Linked DNA regions of Tribolium castaneum. The protein of the gene in region 2 purifies or fractionates together with the protein of the main gene of each other region. This does not show direct contact. Links are inferred from orthologs where the notes say so. Each region holds a gene or a part of one and is shown on either strand. Other genes may lie near its edges. The genes, in order: CSN6 and l(2)dtl.

What was found.
Region 1: the proteins of l(2)dtl (region 2) and CSN6 purify together in Homo sapiens (affinity purification with mass spectrometry; 4 studies listed by BioGRID and IntAct, with this or other methods). This does not show direct contact. The link is inferred for Tribolium castaneum from reciprocal best matches to the Homo sapiens genes DTL and COPS6.

The regions. Positions count from the first base shown.
Region 1 is NC_087398.1:15,420,280-15,424,621, reverse strand, and holds the start of CSN6 (COP9 signalosome complex subunit 6), read right to left. Parts: upstream 2,918-4,342; 5' UTR 2,832-2,917; coding exon 2,627-2,831; intron 2,576-2,626; coding exon 2,444-2,575; intron 290-2,443; coding exon 138-289; intron 87-137; coding exon 1-86. Other genes in the region: uncharacterized protein C9orf85 homolog, read right to left, coding at 3,191-3,751. UniProt on the Homo sapiens protein: Component of the COP9 signalosome complex (CSN), a complex involved in various cellular and developmental processes.
Region 2 is NC_087402.1:4,539,853-4,543,916, reverse strand, and holds l(2)dtl (protein lethal(2)denticleless), read right to left. Parts: upstream 2,895-4,064; 5' UTR 2,753-2,894; coding exon 2,710-2,752; intron 2,654-2,709; coding exon 948-2,653; 3' UTR 810-947; downstream 1-809. Other genes in the region: beta-1,4-glucuronyltransferase 1, read right to left, coding at 3,152-3,364, 3,409-4,064. UniProt on the Homo sapiens protein: Substrate-specific adapter of a DCX (DDB1-CUL4-X-box) E3 ubiquitin-protein ligase complex required for cell cycle control, DNA damage response and translesion DNA synthesis.

The DNA.
Region 1 (4,342 bases), on a different chromosome or scaffold from region 2:
AGAGTATAAGACAAATTAACAAATAACATTGTTGCTTCGCCCCCAATCAAATCAATTACAGACTCGTAAAGAGCAACCGGCAAATGCTAAAATAATTATGTTAAAACTAACACTTAAAATGCAGCCTGTGTACGAACATCAATGTTTTTGTCGTAGGGATTTAATTTAAGCAAAATTGGAGATTCATTAATGTCGCATATTTGCTTATGGATTTTAATGTCAGTGGTGTTGGGGATGTCTCCGGTGGTGTACCAACCAATGAAATCCATGTCACTGAACACCTGCTTGACTGCAATAGATTGTTAACAAACAATTTTTGTGTTTTCTAGTGTTTGAATTTACAATAAGAGTAGTTTTCTTATTTTTATTATTTGTATTCACCTTTCAAGCCAAGATCTCTGCGCTCTCTGGTGAACCACTCCCTTGCGAAATTTGATTTTGGCAGCTAGAGTACCATAAAAGATCTATTAAAAGTGTCAAACAGACAAAAAACGTTTGTACCTTTTCAAAAAAATTACATTTAAATTTCCCGCTATATGGCAAAGCAGCATTTCACAATTAACAACCAGAAAAACCAAAGGTCTTAACTTGAAAGGCGAATAATTGTCATAACTAAGCGCAAAACTTGAGAAAAATTAATAAAAAAAAAAATGAAAAAATATATACACCGTATTCGGTAAATGGACTGCCATCGCTTTACTGCGAACTCACAGGAGTCAGAAAAATATTATTCCGCATTTACATGAACTTTACTGTTTATAAAATTTTCAGCTACTGTATCCATACTTTACAGTTTATAGCAACCTTGTTAGAGTTGCCACCTGTCCGGTTTTCACTCAATACAATCCGGATATTAGACGATATGTCCGGTATCCGGATCAAATGTTAATTTGTAATAAATGTCCAGTTTTCTTAGGGTAATTTAAATTTTGTTGTATCTAAAATTAAAATTAACGACCAATTTTAAAAACTCTGCGATAGAACGCTTAATTCCATCTGTAATTTTTCTGAATTCGAAACTATCTAGTTGTTTCCAACAAATACTTTGAATATTAAAAAAAACTTGGAGTGAATTGGAAAAATGTAGATATACAACTTCTAAAAATTGAATTTACATTTTGCAAACAGGATACCGGATAGTTTTGCAAAAAAAATGATGCAGAAAGGTGGTTTACTGTTTATACAATGTGTTTTTAAATGATTCTCATCTAGTTAACTTTGAAATAATAAATACAGAATGTTAATATTCAATGTCTAAATGCCTATCATTAGTTATATGTTCTTTTACATGAGAAATTCACAGATGATTAGATGTGAATCATTCTAACACTCATTGTACAGGCTGCTGCATTTTAGATGTCGGAATAGGGGAACTCCAAAACTAAGAGATTTAGAGAAAAACAAGTGACACATTTTCTGGTCCGTTTTTTTAAAAAATAATTTTGGTCAACCGCATCCCGCTATCATCTTTTGTTTTCGACTTATCAACAGAACTTGACATTTTAACGAAATCTTAAAAAAAATCATATATATCTTCCTTATTATAAAAGATACACATTTGAAACACAAACATTATACAAGCACTTTTTACAGAGAATTTAAAAATGTTATCAGCGATTTTTTTAACCTTTCGTTTAGCTGTAATAAGTTTTATTTTTTTAAATATGAATTATAGGAGGCTGTAATATTTTTGTAAAGCTAATTTTTTTCTGATTTGATGTGTAATACATTCTTTTTAAATATTAAAAAAAATACATTTCGCTTTTTCTGTATAAAGTTGACACTAAAATGTCAACTTTTGTTTATAAGTCGAAAACAAAAAACGATAGCAAGATGCGGTTTAGACCAAGATTATATTCTCAAAAAACGGACCCAAGAATGTGTCACTTGTTTTTCTCTAAATCTCTTAGTTTCGGAGATCTCCTATTCCGACATCCAAAATACAGCACTCTGTACAATATTATTACTACAATATTTTTTATACTAATGCTGTTTGTTATATTTCTTGTATCAGTACATACTATTAAAACTATTGGCAATGTTTTTTTGGTTTTGTAATATTTTATTTGAAAATAAATTTATTTTTATTAAACTAAGTAAAAATTCTTAATACAAACGAGAAGTCAGGTAATAAGATGCCATTACCAGAGTATTTTATATACGATAATACGATAATATAAGAATGTAAGTTATTGTTGTTAGTCATTTTATTGTGGTGTCCAAAGCTAAAAAAAATCTGATGGTAACCCTAAACGTTGCCTACCTCCCACAAAAAATTTGCAGTCTGGCTAAACTTCATTATAATTTACAACAGATCTTATTCAATGAAATTGAAGAAATAAATGAGTCTCAATTACAACAAACGCAACCAACCATACAGAAAAAATCTTCCCTACTCTGATTAGTGATTACAAATTCCGTTGACCACACGGTACATACTTACATTGTTCTTCCTTCATGTTGTAATAATCCCTGTCGATAATAACATCCCCTCCAATTACACTAAATACCAGTTCAAATGAGTTCATTATTTCAATGTTTCGCCCCTTCTGTTTACCAATCAAAGCCCCAATCACTTAAAATGTAACATTATAAATAACTAACTATACTGTAAATGGTGTCGTACCTCGTTGGACTGAGCCCTCTTGAGCCTTTTCACGTGTCCAGTGCTCAGAAACATTCATTATCACCAAAGGGTGCAATGAACAAGTCACAGAACCGACAGCCCCAGCTGCCATCACACTTTTTTCCGAATCTTCCGCCGGATTATTTGCAACATCAGCAGAAGCCGGATTATCGACTTCCATTTCCATTGATTCTTTCGTACTCATATTAATTATTACAAGAAATTGAATCAAAATGTATAAATAACACCGCTAACAAAATGACAAATGACAGCGCTTTGACCCTTTGACAGATGTCAATGTCACAAGTGGCGCCAAACTTAAACGCAACATATTAACATATTCCTCAAATTTTATTAAATTCAAATACCTAATTAAATTTACTCATTAGACGAATTAACGTCATCACTTCCATTATTTCTGTAGGACGCATATAATTTATTACAAGATAATTAACCGAAATGACAAATAAGATCGCTTTGACAGAACGTGGTGCAACAAATAAAAATATTCGCTCTTTTATTTTATTATTTTAATTAAATTCTACAACCAATATATTACAAAATTTAATCATCCGACGAATCAACGTCATCAAAATCGCTGAAGTCGTCCAAGTCATCGTCAATCTTAAGCGCGTTGAGTTTGCTTTTCAAATCTTCCTTTCTCTCCTCGTCATTCGTCGAATCTTCCTCACTTTTTTTGCTCATGTACCTCAAAAACGTCCTCCGTTTGCGTTCCGGAAGCGTATGTAGCAAATTCTTCATTTCGTTGTCCAGTTTGAGTTGTTCCTTTTCGTCCGGTTTTGTTGTAATAACTTCTTTCGTTTCACAACATTTTGTACAAACACCAAATTTTTTTCCACAGTCTGTACACATCACATGATACGCTTTCTTCACGTTTTTCTGATCACATCTGACACATTTTCGTGGCTGTGTGAGCGGTTTGTATTTTTTGTACTTTATTTTCCACTCGATTATTTCCTTGCAACGGACACAAACGTCGCTGATTTGGATGTTGTTAATGTTTTTCGTGCGTTGACTTGTGTCGTGGAGGGTGTTTTTGAAGGCGGTTTTGTTTTGATGTTTTTGGGAGCGACTCCTTTGGGCGTTACCTTTTTGGGTGCTCATTTTTTCTGGAACGAAAACGTAGCTAAATGGGCTTTTATGTCTTTAATCAATTTTTTTGTTAAAAAAACTCATTTTTATTGATTTCTTTGCCTATTTCAATTTCAAACTCTTTATTGAATTGTTGAATGACCTAAAGATAAACACGCCAATAAAAATCAAAAAAGGCAAAAATAATTAAAATATGTTCGGCAAAACTTTCTCATTTTCTGTTTGTTTTTAGCAAAACGCTCGAAAATGACAAAAAGAATAATAAAATAAAATAAATCTCAAAAAAACTGACAATTTAGTTTGAAAACTTCATTTTTGACAAAGTTGTTATTTGTTTGGCGCTACTGTTGAAAAAACTTTGTTTTTACTTCAAAAACGTGCTTAAACACTGTAAAAAGGCAAATTTAACATCATTTTTGACCTAATTTATAGTACATTAAAAACAAGTTTTATAAGACGAGTCTTAATCTTATTATGACATCGCTCTTGATAACGTTGCGTGCTTTAAGATGCCCATTGAAACATCAAAAGGGCGGCAAATTACAAAAAAAATATTTTCAAACAGTTTTTAACGAAATTTTGGATTTTTAACTGACTGACCAC
Region 2 (4,064 bases):
ACGCGTATGGCTCACGTCTCCGATATCCAATTACGGACGCGTCCAGTTGTACCAACTTTGCTAACGACGTCCTTTGTTCTCACAACACTTGTTAGCAGCTACTGCCATGCTACAAATTCAAATCACAAACGAAAAATTCACAAAAGCTAGTTATTTCTCTCATTTTTTTAAAAATTACAAAATAAAAGCATCGAACGTTTGAACAAATACATGTTTTTTCGTCTCTGTCATTATCTACACCTACATAATATATTTTACATATTATACTATAGAAATGTACACTGAAAAAAAATTATAACTTCACAATGCTTTTTAAAAAAGAAACCAACATTCAAATGCAAACTTAAGTTTATAAATAAAACTATCGATAGCCTGATGCCTAGGCACGGATAAATGAGGTTTGACTGTATTGAAACAGAAGTACCCATTCTGCTAAAAAACGCAGTATCAAGTGGTGGGTGTAATTAGTATTTTTGGTTGCATAAAAAAATTGCCAGCTTCAAGATCTTAACTTTTTCTTTGTTTTCATCACAGGGGGAAATTTTAATAAGACACCTACCAAAATTAGGTACAAAAAAATTAATTTTCGATTATTTGATAGCTAAAATTAGCCGCTAAATAAGAAAGCGATAATTAAATTAATTCAAATTAAGTTGCTAAAGATAAAATTAATCACGAAATCGCGAATAAAATTTTGATTGTAAATTTAGCTAAGCAATGTATTACTGATTATAAAACAGCAACGGTAATACCTATAGCTGTTTTTTAGTGGGTATAGGCGATTGATTGTAACCATATAAAAAAACACATTCAAAATAAAACTTTTTTATTAATTTCAGGTCAAAAACAAGACAAAACATAGTATAATAAAAAATCATAAAAACAAACAAGACAGCTTAAAACTACAATACAAAGTCTTAAAATATGAGATACATTGTGTGCTTAATTTATTGACTGGATTGCGTATTCGGCGCCGCAACATTACAGTTTGAATGAGACTTCGTACACGAATGCCCTTCACACTTAACTTTAAAAAACCTCAAAAGGGGGCTTTTCGGCGCACATTTTTTCGGCGTCGCCTCCAACTTGGCCACTTTCGGGGGCGTCGAAGTGGAGGCTGTTTCAAAATCCCGCTTAAACTTCCTCTCCGTACGCAATTTCGTCAACCAGTCTTGATCCTTTTTCTTGGGAGGCGAAAAATTCAAATGTGGGGCCACCCCATCAATCACATAATTGGGCAAATTCAAAGTCAGCGTCTTCTCATCATTATTTTCCAAATTTTGGAAAAGGCGCCTCGGCCCCAATTCGCCGTGAAACCTCTTAGTCTCGTTGGAAATTTCCTCATCGATTTTCCGTTTGTTGTTAGAACAACAGTTTTGGCACACGCCACTGGTGGAAGGACTGTCGCACTTTTTGCAAGCAAGCGACATTTTTTTACTAATCGGGATTATTTCATCAATTGGTCGCTTCAGTTCGGACTGGACCGGGATTAAAGGCAACACTTCGGCGTGGCCTTTCCCGATTATTTCCCAATTTTCCGGCAGTTCCTCCGGGCCCACTCGCCAGATCCGGTGGGACATGTCGTCGGAACATGTGACTAAAGTCGGGTCGTCTCGCTCGCACCATGCCACACACGTGACTTCCGCCACATGTCCGGTTAATCGGACCAAAGGTCGCGAATGACTTGTGTTCCAAATATACGCGTTTTCGTCGCTACTCCCACTAATCAAATAATTGCCATCGCGACTGAGACACGCCTTAATGTAAAAAGTGCTGTTCTGGTGCCCCGTGTACCTCATCACGGGCTCAGGATTACACGTGCCAACGTTGTAACTATAAATCGTATTGTCTAAACAATTGGCGTACAGCCTGACACAGTCCCTATCGATGATAAGACTGCTGAAGCCGTTCTTCGTCGTGGTGCCCCCGTACGGGATTTTGTTCTTCGGCAGCGGCTCCTGCTTATAAAAGAGATAATTCTTGCGCAAATCCCAGATTTTGATAACCCCATCACCGGCACCGCACGAAATCAACGTATTATCGTCTTGGAAGACCAACCCCGTCACTGACTTGGCGTTCGACGCCCTCGAGGGACTCAAACACGTGCACTTTTTGCGCGTTTTGACCGGAGTTCTAGTATTGTGTGAGTTAAAAATGGTCCTATCGACCTTCCCGACCAAGCTACCCCCGAGTGTCCGCGTGTCCCAAATTATGATATTGCCGTCGCGCCCCCCAGTCGCAAAGACACTCGGGTCCTCTTTGCGGAACGCAATGGTTTTAACTGAGCGCGTGTGACCGAAAAAAGAGCGAATTTCTCTCACGTCGGCCTCCGCCACATCGAAGAGCTTCGCAGTGTGGTCCCCTGACGCCGTCACGATCTTCATATTGTCGAACATCCAGCACAGGTCGAAAATAGCGTTGTTGTGCGCCCGGATCCCGTAAGACTCGTGCTTTTTACTGGTGTCTTGAATGGCCAGTTTGCCGTCTTCGTTAGCGAGAGCCAGCAAGTTTTCGTTTGATTTTTGCTGCGCGAATTTGCACGCAAAGATCGGGGTATCACAAATAACATCTTCGGAGGATAGTAACTGGGTGTATTCGTCCTCTTTGGGGCACCGGAGACGCTTAATTACTTCGTCGTAGCGTTTCCAGCGGGCTAAAAGGGCGCGCTTTTTGTGACTTGAAAGTGAAAATATTAACAAAATGTGCTACCTGAGCCGGTCTGTTGCTCGATTAGCTTCTTCACTGGCTGCATTTGCACGATTTTGGGGCAAAAAGTAACAATTTCGCTGCGATTTCACCAAGGCCTTTGAGTTGTTGATGTTTCTAGAATGTGAGGTTAAAGCGGGAAATGTCAAGGGACGCACCAACTTATGTGATTGTGGCTCTTTCTCTCGTTTGGTACGTGTTGGAAAGGGATAGCACTTGGGACGGGTAGGCGAGCTTGGGTCGGGTCAGTCGATAAAACAGATGGGACAATATTTAAAAGCCGGGCGAAATTTGAATCAAATTCAATCGTGTTTTTCTTTATCGGTTTATTTGTTAAAATAAGCATGATCACAGGTCGGTTCAACGTCAACAAAACCATTGGCTCAATCGGCAACAATTAACTAATCTATCGCTTTGGCTAATCAGTCTAACTCAACAGTTTGATTTATTGCAGCTTGCATTTAGGATTATCGTCGTATTTGCTCCGCAATTCCTTGATAATTCTCGAGTAGTGTTTGGAGTTTTCTTGCTGGAAACTCATTCGCCACGAATTTTGCACGTAAAAGGTGTGCTTCTCCTTTTTAATCCCGGGCCAGTGGACCAGGAACGCGCCATCCAAAATAATGAACTGGTATCCTATAAGGCACATCTCCAACATCTGGAAGTCAGAATTAGGCGCTAGTCCTAGTGTTGGGTCCCCACCTGAGTCATCTTGTCTTGCAAACCCTCCCAGGACAGCAGTTCGCTGTACAAGGGGTCGGTCTTGCCCCCTATGTAGATGGGTTCCCAGCGGTGGAAAGGGTACTCCCGTTTGACGGAAACAAAGGGCTGAAATTGCAAATTGAAAAACTGGCTACGCCTGGCTTTGCCCACCTTGATGGTGTCACCGCTGGCGCTTTCGAGCCAGGTCTTAATCCCCGGAAACTTCTGGCAATGGGAGCAAGTGTGTCTGTGGAAGTAAACCGCTCTCTCCTCCTTGACCATCATCATGAGTTCGTCTTTCGTCCTCGGTATGACATCATAAGCCTCCACTTCGAACACAGGCACTACGAAAACGCGGGACGGACTTTTCTTCAAATGCAACAGTTTGGCCATTTTGACGAATCTCGAAGCCAAGTCTTCGCTCGGTATGAGCTGGATGTCAGTGACCATCACAAAATCGGTCTGTGAGTACGTCCGAGCCACGTTTCGGCATATGTTGATGGGGTACATGAGCTCGTTGCTCATCCGAAACGTGGCCAATTTGGCCGAATCAGGGAGCTCGCAGGTTAATTTTTCCTGGTGGTTTTGCAAATATGGGGGCTCCTTGAGCGGGAATACGAAGTGGACAGAGACTCGCCCCATTTCGGGGGCGCAAA